Linked DNA regions of Styela clava. The protein of the gene in region 2 purifies or fractionates together with the protein of the main gene of each other region. This does not show direct contact. Links are inferred from orthologs where the notes say so. Each region holds a gene or a part of one and is shown on either strand. Other genes may lie near its edges.

What was found.
Region 1: the proteins of non-lysosomal glucosylceramidase-like (region 2) and 2-hydroxyacyl-CoA lyase 2-like purify together in Homo sapiens (co-immunoprecipitation; 3 studies listed by BioGRID and IntAct, counting the BioPlex papers as one, with this or other methods). This does not show direct contact. The link is inferred for Styela clava from reciprocal best matches to the Homo sapiens genes GBA2 and HACL2.

The regions. Positions count from the first base shown.
Region 1 is NC_135258.1:4,953,999-4,961,910, forward strand, and holds the start of 2-hydroxyacyl-CoA lyase 2-like, read right to left. Parts: upstream 3,013-7,912; 5' UTR 2,867-3,012; intron 2,762-2,866; 5' UTR 2,672-2,761; coding exon 2,537-2,671; intron 1,441-2,536; coding exon 1,239-1,440; intron 604-1,238; coding exon 475-603; intron 225-474; coding exon 87-224; intron 1-86. UniProt on the Homo sapiens protein: Endoplasmic reticulum 2-OH acyl-CoA lyase involved in the cleavage (C1 removal) reaction in the fatty acid alpha-oxydation in a thiamine pyrophosphate (TPP)-dependent manner. Involved in the phytosphingosine degradation pathway.
Region 2 is NC_135262.1:10,354,494-10,362,193, forward strand, and holds the start of non-lysosomal glucosylceramidase-like, read right to left. Parts: upstream 3,001-7,700; 5' UTR 2,909-3,000; coding exon 284-2,908; 3' UTR 1-283. UniProt on the Homo sapiens protein: Non-lysosomal glucosylceramidase that catalyzes the hydrolysis of glucosylceramides/GlcCers (such as beta-D-glucosyl-(1<->1')-N-acylsphing-4-enine) to free glucose and ceramides (such as N-acylsphing-4-enine).

The sequences.
Region 1 (7,912 bases), on a different chromosome or scaffold from region 2:
TAATTACTATAGATGATGGCATTGCTTATTAATTTCTCATGAAAATACTTTACTTTATTAATTAATTATTAACAATATACACATACCAGGAGTTCCAGACTGAGCACAAGCTATCGCCTGCCTCACAGTTGGTACGATATCTCGGATCCGTGTGACTCGAGCACAAAACTTGCAAAGTGGTTTGAACAAACTCATTTGATCAATATCTTGAAGAGCTCCTCGGCCTGTTTAAAAACAAAATTATTCAAAATTATTGAAACTAAGAAGATTTTTTTTAATTGAATCGAACATTTTCTAAATCAAGTCATAATATACATCCCCTCATTATAAGTACAAAATCCATTAATGAATGTGCAAATTATTTGTGTTCATAAATCTTAAAATTTTATAAAAGGGAATTAAAGATATAATGAGTAGTCTACTGACTTCATTATGGATACCCTGTACATTGAGAAATATCATAAGTCTAGTTACCTTTGAGCAATGTAGGTGCTGCACCTCCAATAAGGAGAATCGGAGATTCAGCCATTTGTGCATTCTTGACAGCGGTCACAGTGTTAGTGAGGCCCGGTCCAGCAGTTACTGCAGCTACACCAATGCGGCCTTGATAAATTGAAGAAAAAGATAATACATAACAACATAATTAAATTACATTTGCAATTTTAGCTAAAAGTTAAAAAATAGCAAAGACGATGGCGACAGCCATGAATCCACTTAGTGTAGCAATGGAGTGGTATTTTTCGAAGTTATTCACAAAAGCAGAATTCTAGACCGGGGGGGGGGGGGGTTGGATACAGGAGGGATAGATACAAATAACTGAGCGAAACTGTGAGCTGCACCTTTATTCAACATAAACTTTCTAGTAGTTGCAGAAATGTAGGCACGAAAAAATAGTTTCTTTTTGATATTAATCTTGTGACGTTATAAGGGGTCCTTGGAAAAATGATAAATCGAGACGCATAAATTTCTGAAGAAAACTACCATTTTTACTTATTCATTAGCGTCTTTCTTCATTAACTTTCCCTAAATTGCTCGCCGCTCAGCAAGTGACAGCTTTGTCAATCACATTGTTCGCATCACAAAAGCTAGGTGTAAGAGCATAATAAATTTTACTCTGGTATATTCCTTGCAACGCAAAAGGTTTGGAATTGCAACCATTTGAACTACCGGTATATTAAAAATTCAATCACAATCATGCAATCACAAAATTTAATCTTATCTTATAATTTAATCAGAACCTGATAATCTGGCAACAGCATCTGCTGCAAACACGGTTGTTACTTCATGTCTCGTATCGACGACTCTAATTCCCAATTTCTCCGCAGCTACTAGAATGGGTGAGATGTGACCTCCCACGAGTGTAAAAAGGAATTGCGTTCCATGATCTTTCAAAACCTGGGCTACAAGTTCCCCACCGTGCCGCTTGGATTCCTTTTCCACCTGTAAACATATTGAAATACTTTGAAAGGCAAAATGAACAAAGAACATGAATAACAATTTAACCGTGGTTGTAATTAGAGATTTTTATATTTAGACACAATTTTCATACTGATTGTGGGAGAAAAAAGATGCGAAAACTGTAGAGCAGTGGTTCTTCATTATTCAGTATTAGAGACAAATTTCAAGCGTCAAAAACAAACGCAAATCAGAATAGATACAAAACAGAAATCAACTAAGTGGTATAAAATCGAGTAAAAACCCAGTTACCACTGAACTTGGCTTAGATTTTTAATTCTGAAAAAGGAGCCGTAATTGTGATGGATGTATTCTTCCGAAATATAGATAGCAATAGCTAGCTCCATATTTTCATAATGCTATCTATTTCAATTTGAAAATACTTCTCATATAATAATTCTGCAGCAGGAATAAAATACCATACTATTGTACTATGCATGATTGTTCTGTTCTTGTCATTGTTGTAAACTGCTTGTCAGAGGAATGATTTTAGTCAGATGGAGCGATACAGCAATACATTAGTGTTACCAAGTCAGTGTTCGGCAGAGACTCTTGAATTGCATAGTGTAATATTTTATTCCTGCTACAGCATTATTCCATTATATGAATACAGGAATATGGATCCACTAGCACAAAGGCAGTGAGGAAAGATTGGGAGTTAGTCTCGTTAGAGCTAAGATCTGAAGCCCGAGCTGACCCCTGGACCCAGAATTCTGTTGCCTCATCAACACGACACATACCGTACCGGTACTGACATAGACTACTGCAGTAGGTACCGTAGGTACTAAACTCTTGCAATGACAATTCAATGAACTCCTGAATAAAATTTCGGGTTTGCTCCGGGCTCGGGCCTGCAAATCCAGTTTATTAGTCTGGTTTAATACCATACCCACGGGCCTGGATCGGGCTGGAATTTTTGGGCCAAATCTCACCTCTAAGTCCTGACTGCCTGAAGTCTCTTGTATCCTATACCTACCGTAACCTCTCTGATAGTGATATTTGCCTTACATCAACTTTTTTTTGATTCTTTTTACATTCTGTATTTCATTTATGGTGAGAAAATAAACTACTGATTACTTACCTTGTGAAAAAATTGATAAACAAGACCGAATTTCTGTACAAACAATGACGCACCAAATAATATTGCACCGACCAAAAATAAGACAACATTTTGTACTAATAGCTCCTGAAATATCCATTCCAGAGTGTCAGCCATGTTCAAATGTTCAATTCCGATGTTCCCAGTCTGTGAGATAGATGTAACGTTATATGTTTTCCAAAGCCTTTTTGCGCCAAAGAAACACAGCTGAAAGCAGAGAAAACTTGATCAAAGAATTGCACTGCCACACGGAGTCAAAACATATTCCAGATCCGACTACTAGAGCCGACAAATTCGCAAGGTTTTACTTACTTTTGACTTTCGTTCTTTGCTTCAACATAATTGAGCATTTCCAGATCGTATCGCATGGAGAAAAAGGTCACTCGGCCAGGCGCATCGTGCTAAGCGTTGGGAATACGCTCGTCACCGCAAGGTAACCGCGGGTCGGTTACGGGCTTACGGCCGTATTAAATATACGCTTTGGTTACGGATTCCTCCACCATCAAGTCCATGCTTCCGAAAACAATTAACTGGCTAACACTAACTAATCCCATATCTTACATGGACTGGTAACCGGACGAAAGACCGTGGTTTGCCATATGATTAAGTTGTCTTATCGGCTTTCTTGTCATGGAGGATGAATATGTAAATCCTATCCTATTCTAGGTTAACCTACGTTTTAGGATCAGAGCATCTTGAAAGAAACAGGTTTTAGCCATGAATGAGCCAATTTGCGAGATTTGATACCTAGTGTAAATTTAAGAAAAATCCGGTGGGCTCGAGGGTTAGTGCGTCGTGAGAGTTTGAAATGTAAAAGAGGGGGGACACCTCTTGCGGGGTGGGGTAGGAGGGGGTACTGGCCCCGCCCCACCTAATATATAAAATAAAATAGTGCTTAATTTAGGGTATTGTAAAACACTCACAGGGAAATCGTTCCTAACTACAAGAAGATAACTAGATTTTTCTAGGTCTTCGTTGGCTGTGAGTCCACTCTCCAAGCTAAAATATATGCAAACATTTAGTTAGGGACAGGCACAAAATAAATACGTTTTTATTAATATTCAAGATTCATTTTTTGGATCGAAATACTTGTGACAGGAAGAATCACAACATTTATGGAGTACCTACCACTGGTTTACGTGTGCTTGCCATGTGTCACTCTGCATTTTCATTGCTATTTGTAGTTTTGCTTTTTTGTGGCGATTGTCTTCCTTTTGCTTATCAAGCTGACGCTGGTTCTCCAACTCAATTTTTTCAAGCTCAAACTTGCGTTTTTTCTCTCTTTCTGTCCTTCGATCACCCTCTTCTTCTCGTTTTAACTTTTCTTTCTCTCGCCGTCTATTATTGCTGTTTTGATTCATTATTGCTGTTTTGATACATTATTGCTGTTTTGATTAAGATGATAGTTGAATAAATAGAAATATAATATAGATAACGCAACTGGTTTATGGATGTAACCTCTACAATTTGTGAATAGTATTAATAATTGTGCAGTGGGTGAACGAAGAGATGAACACGCCAAACAAGTCTAGTGTTCCTCCTGTACCACCAAAGCGCAAAAGTCCAACCGACCGACAGATGCGTTCAACTGCTAAAATGACTTCAACAATTGAAGTTGATGACATCACTAATCTGGTATCTGTACTGGAAGGTACAGTTTTGAAAACCTTTCGTCTTGAGATTCCTGCCATCATTGAGCAACATCTCGATAAATCTAGCTTCAATGTGACCCAGGACACCACCAATACCTTGAATTTGGAGGAGTCAATAACATCACTGACGGAGTCTATGAATGAGATCAAATAAGAATTATCATCTTTCCGTGAGATCAAGAACGAGATACACGAAATCAAAAAGAGTCAGGATTTTGTGTCAAAAAAATTTGATGAGCTCAGATCGAACCAAGACGAGCTCAATAAGATAGCAACGAAAACTAAAAAAAGAGTAGCGGAGCTGGAACAACTTGTGGAAGAACTAGAGGAGAAAGTTGACATACTCACAGAAAGGCAGCAAGATCAAGAGCGTCGCTCCAGGTTGGACAATTTGGAATTTCATAACATACCCTACACTAACGGGGAAGACTGTGAAAACCTAATTTCTAAAATTTGTAAGAAAATTGAAGTTCCTTTGCAATCCATTGATGTATCGAATTGCCACAGAATGTCGAAAAACAATAAAAAAAGACCATCTCCAATTATTGCCAAGTTTGTCAACAGAAAAACGAGAAACCGAATACTAATGAATCGTCGTAAACTGACATCTCTCGACATCTCTACAATATTTTCGAACTTTCCCAGAACCATCGAAGTATTCGTTGTAGAAAACCTCACAGACACAAACAAAGATTTGTTCTACAAAGCCAGGGAACTGAAACAAGAGTGCGGTTATAAATTCCTGTGGACCAACAATGTAAAAGTTCTCATAAAAAAAAATTCTAATACGGCTACCATCCCTATCATCACTGAAGACGACCTGCTCTCTATAAAGTAGGTCATTGTATTATAGTTATTTCTTATTAATTGATATTCTTATTAATCATTCATTCTGGTTCCATTTCTTATATTTCCATATACGTAAATGCCGAATCATTGTGATTATTTGTTAGATTATAGTGATAATGGTTCTAATAGTTTAAAATACCTAAATTCAAATAGTGGTTGTGATTGCAGCAACATTGAAGTAACTGATCTGAAAGATATCCAAACTAATTCGGGCTTGACAATTATCCACACTAATATTCGGTCAATTAGAAAAAATATTGATCAACTAACTACGTTATTGTCTAATTTATCTCCCTCCCCCCATATAATGGCAGTGAGCGAAACCAAATTAAATAGTAATAATTTTGATAATATAAGCATCGACGGTTATAGATTCGTACACACACCGTCTGCCTCCAAGGCAGGCGGAGTGGGTGCTTTCATCAGAAATGATATCAAATTTACAAAGTCTACTGAATATCATTTAAATTATATTAACTGTGAGGATATTTGGCTCGATATAGACTTGGAAAACATATCCAAAAGGTTGACCATTGGCATTATATATAAACAACCAAGAAACGATATTCCTGCTTTCACAAACATATTAGAAAACTGCCTCACCAAATTGACAAAAAAACATTTTATAATTGTGGGAGATCTCAACATAAATCTACTTGCAACAAGACCTTGTCCCCAAATCACCAATTATATTAATATGCTTGTTGCTCACAACACTATTTCTCTTATTACAAAGCCTACAAGGGTTACCAGAACCTCAAGGACACTCATAGATCATATATAGACCAACATGACTCACCTAAAATTAGATCCTTATGTTATATTATCCAACATCACTGATCACTTTCCTTTAATATGCTGTGTTAATGGCATCAAACCATCAACCAACAATGAGCTTGTCATGATAAGGGATATGTCTGCATTTTCCATTGATGCATTTCGGTCAGATACACACGACCTAATTAATAATCACTTTGCTGCGTTGGACTTGAATTCTCAAAATTTTGACACATTATTTGAAGAATTCACAAATTCTTTTGCTGCTCTAATCCACCGCCATGCGCCATTTAGACCGTTGTCGCGTCGTGAAAAAAAAATAAAACCCAAGCCATGGATTTCCAAAGGAATACTTATTAGTATTCGCTACAGGCGTAAGATGTTCAAAACCCACTACCTGAAGGGCAATAGTTCTCAATGCTCATTTTTTAAAAAGTATCGTAACTTACTGACTCATACAATTGACAATGCAAAGCAATTGTATTATCAAAACCTGATCGCTCAAAACAAAGGCAACCCAAAGTTTACATGGCGAATCGTTAATCAGATTACCTCCAGAAAGAATAAATTGAGGCATAATGTTGATGAAATTCATCTTGATAACGGCTGCATCATTAGGGATAGTCATTTCATAGTACAAGAATTCAACAAGTACTTTTCAACTGTTGGGTCCAGCCTCTCTGGTAAATTCTCTAATGATATGGTCGGTTTTAAAATGTATCTTGGCAAACGAATAAATCAATCCATATTTCTGAGTCCAGCTACAGTAATCGAATTGGCGACTGAAATTTTGAGTCTTAAGGCGGGTAAGGCAGTGGGGGTAGACAACATTCCCTGTCATTTCCTCAAGTATGCTGTGGACATCATATCTCCATGTCTAACAGAGTTTTTCAATAATTCCCTTCAATTTGGTATATTCCCATCTTCACTGAAGATAGCCAGAGTGGTTCCGATCTTTAAATCTGGCAATAAAAAACAGTTGTCAAACTATAGACCTATATCCATTCTATCTTCTATTGATAAAATATTTGAGCGTTTAATCCATAAAAGGCTAATGAACTTCTTTATAAAGCATGAGGTAATAAATAAATCTCAATTTGGTTTTCAAATTAAACATTCGACTTCGCATGCAATTTTAGATACAATATCCCATATCTATGATAAACTGGAAAAGAAGGAATATGTTAGCGCAACATTCTTAGATCTCAAAAAAGCTTTTGATACCGTTAATCATAAAATTTTAATCCACAAGCTATGGCACTATGGTATTCGAGGAGTGGCAAATAAACTCCTCGATAGTTACCTGACGAATAGATCTCAATATGTTCAAATGGGTAAATATTGTTCTCCGGCGTTACCTGTGACCCACGGCGTCCCACAGGGATCTTGCTTAGGACCGACTTTGTTTCTTATCTTCATCAATGACCTTTCTCGAAGCACCACACTTTTTTCCAAACTCTTCGCTGACGACACAAATCTTCTTGATAGTGACAAGTCTTCTGATATTCTTCAATCGAGAGTAAACACTGAAATAAATAAAGTAGCTAATTGGATGAAACTTAACAAACTAACTCTTAATGTTGACAAATCAAAGACCATGCTAATATCATCAATGAAACGAAAAACCAAGGTTACTTTAAAACTTGAAATTGGGGGCACTGTTCTTGAGAATGTCAATTCTTACAAATATTTAGGCATCCACCTTGACAGTAAAATGCAATGGGATATTCAAATATCCAACATTGTTGTTAAATTATCCAAGTCTATAGGGATGCTTTATAGACTTAGACGGTATGCTTCAATGTCAACATTACGCTTAGTTTATTACGCCTTGTGTCAGTCCCATATTCAATATGGCATCGTAGCTTGGGGATCAGCTAACAAAACTTTATTACATCGCATTGAAATAATGCAAAACAGGGCAATTCGTGCACTTACTAATGCCGGACCTCGATCAAAATTAGACTCCCATTATCATAAAATGCAAATAATTAAAATGGCAGATATCTATAAAATTGAAGTACTAAAATTTATGCATCAGCATCAGAATAATGAACTGCCTATTGCGTTCACTAATTAT
Region 2 (7,700 bases):
GCAAAAAATGCTTCACTATCACATGAAAAAGACATTCATAATTCATTGGAATGTGTAATTCACTAAGTGTTACTTTCATATTGGAAAAAGGTAGAAATAACAATGCCATAATTATAGTCATTGGACAAGCGAAAGAAGGAAAAAAATGCTGATCACTGACCAAAGAAACTGACCTTCAAATAATGAAGAATCAAATGAAAAGGTTATACTACAAAAAGTAATGACATTATAAATAACAGTAAATTTTTTTTAGTTTAAAAACCTTTGCCAAAATAATTAAAGCTTATTCTGAAGCAATGTCATCATTGTCTGTGTTTTCCAGTGCATATTGCATGCCCCATATACTTAATGGGCGCATGTACGCTAGAGATCGGTAATGATTGTGTTTCAAAATCGCTTCTGGTGTTTGAAATGCCATACCAGTCTCTTCCCAAACACTTTTATACATTCCTTGGGCCGTTTTGAAACCTTCTTTCAACATTCCCTTATGAAGCATCGTTGCCGCAACAGCATATGTTACCCCAGTCCAAACTTCATCTGACTGAACGCTCGATTGATCAACTTTCCCGTTTGGTCTCATTCCGTTTACTGCGCCCCGTCTTCCATCAGCAAACAATTCCACATTAAAGTTATAAACTTTTCTCAAGCAGCTAAGAATTTTATCTCCTGGTATGACATCAGCTATTCCCGCAGCAAGTAAATACCACTGACCTGCACATTGGTCAGCCATAATGCTGTCACTATGATTGCTGTGTTTATTGCTATCATAATTAAAATATTCACCATTCCATAACTTTTTGTCGTAAGCCTTGGTGGCTCTTTCTAAAATTTCCTTGTATTTTAAACTATCTTCTTGTCGGTCCAAGATATTTGCTGCCTCGATGGTACATCGCAATGCGGCAATCCATAAACCACCGCAATACGCACTTGGACCAGTGACACTCCAACCATCAAAAGTTTGATCTGCGGTTCCACCATTTTCAATAAGACCATCTCCGTCTTTATCATGTTTCATGCTCATTTCCATAACTGTCAAACAAACTGGCCACATGTCCTCAAGAAATTTACGATTTTTTGTGATGTGGTAATCTCGAAAAACTTGCAAAACAAACTTAGGATTTAAATCTTTCCAAGATGCTGTATCGTGAACAAAATACGCATTAACTCTCGTCCAAGGTTCATCTTCAGGATCCCCAACATCATGTGGAACCACTCCTGTCGTTTTAACAGGTTTTCTATGACCATCCATTATAAAACGAAATCGTGTATCATCAGCCCTTAGAATACTTGTAGCAATATCATACTGTAAGCTTAGCTCAAGCTTGGGCCATAATGCAGCAAGAGCTATCGATGCATAAAAATGAACGTCATATGTATTGAACATCCTATATTCTTGGCCTTCAAGATACGCAAATCTTCCAAATTCTTTTAAAATTTCACTGTTTTGGAGATGATCCACATCTGTTTCTTTTGATGCATTGTGCTTATTTATATGATTTGAAATGCTAATTGATTCTGTATCAGTTTTATCTATTTCAAGCCAAATTGTCCCTCCATCACTGATGTAATACAACTCGTTGAATATGGCAGATTTGTACCACAGTGGTAAGCGGGAATTTGACAGAATTGGTTCTTGCCATGATCGTATTTTTTCTTCCCAATCTTGATAGTTTTGAAGGGCATACAACGCAATTTTGGGTCCAGCGTTACCAGATGCACCAAAGAAACGAGTATATCGACGGCGGTGAGAAATTTCCTTTGAACCAAAATATACTATTGGCATATCCCAGGATAAAACAAAATCAACATTTTTTTGAAGAGTTTTTGATTTTACAGTGGTTTCAACAGCAACTGCACAGGCAATAGATTCTCCACGAGAAGTATTTTCACTTATGTCATTTGTAGAATCAAAGTGGCCATGTTCATGCAATTCATTCCAAATTGTGGATCCATCTGAAGTTGGGTCAAAAGAAATGCATTTTGAAACTTTCATTTCTGGCTTATCAGATGCCGCAACTGTCATTGTGTACGGCATTTTCTCATATGTAAAGTTATGCATAACTACACCACTGCATTTTTTATCATCATCAAATTCTTCATTAAAATGTCCAGAATGATGTAGTCTTGATTTTTTTGTGCCATTACCATTTTCCATTGTCATAACAATGGATACTTCTAAATCACTTTCAGATTTATTTTCAATACTCCATGAAAAAACAGCGGCAGGAATACTCGAGTCCTTATATTCATTGGGAATTACAGGAGATACTTGTCTACAGGTTAATACAACTTTATGTTCTGGAATTTCATATACGGTCCACGCACGCGGATACAAAGCATGATAAAAAGCTTGGGAACCAGGAAACTCCCATTTCCAACTTTTTAGATGTTTCGCTGGGGTACTGTGAACACTTAAAACTTGTTGATATACAGTGGTTCCATTTTTACGAATACAAACAATAAATTGATTTGCCAATGTAGTTACAAACTCATAAACCCCCGGACGTAACTGCCATCGACAGAATTCACCCTGCCAGCCACGGTTGATTGACCCGCCCCCGATTCCTCCAAGAGGGACACCATAAATTTGTCGCAGTGGTTGTTGGTTGAAGAAATCCATGCATGGACGACGGTTAATACGCTTTAATTTACGATGAAATTTGATATAACGGTAAGAGAGTCCCACCAATGCTGGAACCTGGTGTATTTTTGGTACAGTCCATGGAGTACGTTTTTCTCTAAATTTATGACTGAGGGCGATTCTCCATCCATATTTGGGAACACCGTCTCCTTGGGATGAACCATTCCAAGTTGACATGAGTTCATTATCTTCAATTTTTTCATGTTCAATTTCCAGATTTTCTAGGGCTTTCCACCATGTTGGCTCACCCGCCTGCGGTTCTCCCATTACTCTCGTATTTTTTTTTTATAAACTTTATAAATCTGTATATATTAAACAACTATATTAATAGTGACCTAGAAAACTAACAAAGGCAAAAAGAAAAGTACATCATCAAAATAAATTTGCATCAATTAAATTCATAAAATCCTGGATATAGGAATGAACAGCTAAACGTCACAATTGTGTAGTTGAACCAGTAAACGGTTACGGCTTCCTCCACCTTCAAGTCCATGCTTCCGAAAAAATAAAATAACTAACTCATCCCATACCCGACATGGAATGGTAACCGGACGAGAGGCCGTGGTTCGCCATATGGATAAGCTGTCTTATCGGCTTTCCTCTCCCCCGGGATAAATATGTAAATCCTATCCTATCCTATCCTAACTATGCCACAATTCAATAAGCATATAAATTTAATTGGACTCAACTATCAAGGCGATAAAATCAACACTCACAAACTTCAGAACTTGCAAACCACAGAAATATATTATTGTACAATACGGACAAACAATTGTCGTTCGTGGGCCAAAATTAAAGGTTGCGAGACGCACATATTTTTAGAAAGTTAAAAACCAAAGGAATGGCCAATGAATCTCATTTTTTCACACAAATCTCAGTTAAAGTACAAGCAGTGGGTGAAGAATGATCATTTGAATATTTTCTGCGTCATTAAACCATTTGCACTCAGCAATCAGCATTAATTTTTTTACGTTGTGTTGCCATTTGTCTAATTATAATCAATTGTAGGCTCATTAAACGAGTGATTGTGAATTATATTCTTGTTAGGTTATAATATAATTCAGTGTTTCAAAACAAATTCTGTCACTGACATAAAGAATATATTCATCAATACAGCTGTTTTGTTAATATAATTCAGTGAAGCGCTGCGGGCTGGATTATATTGCTCCGGGCCGTAGTTTGCCGACTCCTGCCGTACTGTATTCAGGTATTAGGTAGCCTACCAAACTGTATTGAAAAAAGATATATATATTTACTAATTCTTACTAAATTATACCGGTACCAGAACCCAAAATTCGTTCCATCCAAATTTCGGATGGTGTAGTCAGGGGGTCTCGTGTAGTTTCGTACCTAACGTACTTCTAGTGGGCGTAGCATAACCATTTTTTGATATGTCAACCATAACCCCCATCTGACTACGCCACCAAAAAATTACGTCACTACGACATCACAATCACGTCATAGAGCTTGCCAAATATACGTACAATCGCCCGAAATGGCATTGGCGCCGACGATAAAGTACTGACTGACGTTATCGATCTCTCTCCTATTGTAATCGTTGTGACGAGAAAACGAGAGAAATAACTGTTCGATTTCGGGCACTCGTTTGCGCCTCTTGGATGGTAGTTCGTATAGTTTGAAGGGCTCTATCACGTCACTGTGACGTCGTGTTGACGTCATTTTTGGATGATGTAGTCGGGTGGGGGTTAGGATTGATACGTGAAAAAATTGTCATGCTACGCGCACTAGAAGTATGTTAGGTACGAAACTACGTGATTGTGATGTCGTAGTGATTTAATTTTTGGATGGCGTAATCAAATGGGGGTTAGGATTGACATATCAAAAAATTGTTATGCTTCGCCCACTAGAAGTACGTTAGGTACGAAACTACGCGAGATCCGAAATCGCATCCTACAAAGAACCCGGAAACTGGTAAAACTTATGGGTCTAGTATAGTTTAGTACCACAAGTAGGTACCTCCAGTGGGTGTAGCATACCGAATTTTGCATATGTTATTCCTAACCCCCACCTGACTATGCCATCTAAAAATTACGTCACTACGACGTCACCATCACGTCATATGGCTTGCCAAAGTATAATTACAATCGCCCGAAATGGTATCCGCGCCGCCGATAACAAACTCGCTAACGCCGACGATCTCTCTCCTATGGTGATCGTTGTGACAAAAAAACGAGAGAAATAGCTTGCTCGATTTCGGGTGATCGTCTGCGCGTTTTGGACGACCATCCGCATACTTCGGTGGGTTTTATTACGCCACTGTGACGTCCAAATGACGTAATTTTTCGGTGACATAGTCAGGTGGGGGTTAGGATTGACATATACAAAAATTGTTGAGCCAGGCCAACTAGAAGTATATGTGGTACTAAACTATACCAGACCCAAACCTATTACCTGGCGCGGCGGTGTGGCTCAACGGGCTAAGCGTTAGGAATACGCTCGCCACCGCACCTCTAATTACTCTGCGTGGGTTCGCAGGTTCGAATCCCATGCAGGGATGGTTATGTGCGAGAGGATTGCTGGACTCCTCGCCGTCGTTGGGTGGTTCACGTAACCGCTGGTCGGTTACGGCTTCCTCCACCACCAAGTCCATGCTTCCGAAAACAAACAATACAGTAAAACTAATCCCATACCCGACTTGGAATGGTAACCGGACGAGAGGCCGTGTTTCGCCATATGGATACGCCCTCTTAGGCTTTCCTCTCCCCCGGGATAAATATGTAAATCCTATCCTATCCTACCTCAAAAACAAAGAACCGAACTTTCCCTATCGCTGAAAAGGACTGTCGAGAAGGCCACACGGTTCAGGACTTGTGAAGACACGGTACCCTCGGTACGGTACGTTTCTCCACAAAATTGTGCGTATCAACGTCATTCAATTCCTCGGAGTTCTGGTTGGGGTTGGGTTGCAATCAACAACTAACATGTTTTGACTGAGTAAGAAATAAACCACATGTGAAATCGGAAAATCATGTCATTGATTGTAGCCTACTCACATATGCAGCTTTATTGAAGTAATTATGGGACTGGTGGATTTTGCTGTAATTGGGAAGGAAAATGATCGCTTTGCCTAATGGTTATGGTTAACTCATTTATGTTGTTATTGGGTGATTATTTAGTTGCTAGTGAAAATATTTCCCTCCGGAACTAATCGACCATTTGATTAAAAAAACTCATTACTTTAAGATGAAAAAATTTCCTGGGAAGGTATTACTTCCATTTTTAAAATTTCCTCCCAATCCTATGATCCCCAATATTTCACACAAAATTTTGGTGTCTCGCACGTCCACCGATATTTTCAACAAACTCTTTGCTATAACGGTTCACAGTACCGATACCGAAGGAAGTTTCGTGTCTATATATTTGAGCATTACTTTCTTGTTAATCAAGATCGCTCGCGCACTGAAAGAGGTATTGATCATAATGAATTCCATTGAAGATTTGTTTGGTTACGATTCTTATTGTTAGTCAAGTTGGTCATCGTTTCATTAATTCCCTAAACTGAATTTTAATCATTGTATAGCTTTTTTAAATACTGCTGTTCATATTTTCATTAATGCAAAAAGGTCGTTTATAAATTGATATTATTATTATGTGATATCAACATGGCATCTAAAAATGATTGTGCTACTCATTGTTTCTAGAATTGTAAGTGAAAAGTGGGATAAAAGACACATTTGCTAAATTTAGAGGCGGTTTGAAATTCACAAAATATATTGAAGGATGCTGTATGAGATATAAAAAAAAAAATTAGCCGATAACGTTACTGAAGCGACAGACGAAGCATGCTATACCAAAGTTAAATTGAATCTGAAAAAAATTAACAAGAACATATATATATAGGCCTTCAATGAAAATGTCATGGGGAAAATTAAAACTTTTATCAAAAAAATACCCATCAATTGACTTCAATTAGTATACAGGGTGTCTATAAAGTATCTTTATAATTTAAAATATGGTATTTAATGGATATTTGATGATGATTTTTTATAACATCGTATCGCATGGCGGTGTAGTCCAGGAGTCCGCAACTACTTTTCAGCGCGACCCATTTTTTTTTTTATAATTTCTCGCGACCCAAGCATTTGGTAAACATGTAAATAGTTATCGATTTTAAGTCTATTATTGACACTAGCAATTTTCTTGTACAAAATTATCACATAAAATCGTGAATAATAGCGTTTATTATGACTAACGCGAATTATTAGCTTTGTGTTTTGAACACAACATAGAAATTCGACGTTTAATTTGGGAGACAGCAACTCGAAGATCTTCTTCTACTTGTAGCCTTGATCTGTATTTGTTTTTTATGTATGAAAACGCAGAAAAGGTCTTTTCACATAATTCCGAATAATTCAAAATCCAGTAGTTCCGAACGAATGGCAACAGAACATTCATTGCAGCAGCTGATAACTCCGGCCATCAAATGCGATCTTCAACCCGCGATAACTTGACAAGTCATCCAATGCTTCAATCAAATCTGATGATAGATGTTGTATATTGATACTGTGAAATGTGGTATTATCCAGTCGTATTGTGTTTTCCGTAAATATTTATTAAACCACTGCGAAAGATGTTGCGAACACAATTGTCTACGTCAGCGTTTCCCAAACTTTTTCAGCCATGGAACACTTACAATTTTGATCTCACCTCGCGGAACACCAAAAAATGAAACAGTAAATTGATAGAGAAAACCAGTGTAATGTAGCGGAGTTGCTGAATGCGTCGCGAAAACTAACAGAATTGTGTTAAACCTACCTAAAATATGATTGAATATTTTACATATTGCATTCATTATAACTGTTTTATTGTTTCCTAGTTTAAATGCTGTGTAAATGAATCAATTCATTCATTTTACCATTCTATGACGTTTACTTTTCATTACGTAATGTTTGCCTCTAATGTTACGTCTAATGGCAATAAAAGTACTTTCCGCAATTTCGCGAGCTGCAGACATGCCGTTTATTTATTTTCTGAATAGAGTTTACCGAAAATGATTAATTTTTTCAGCGTTTCAAAGTAAAACCAGGCAGAGATGGAG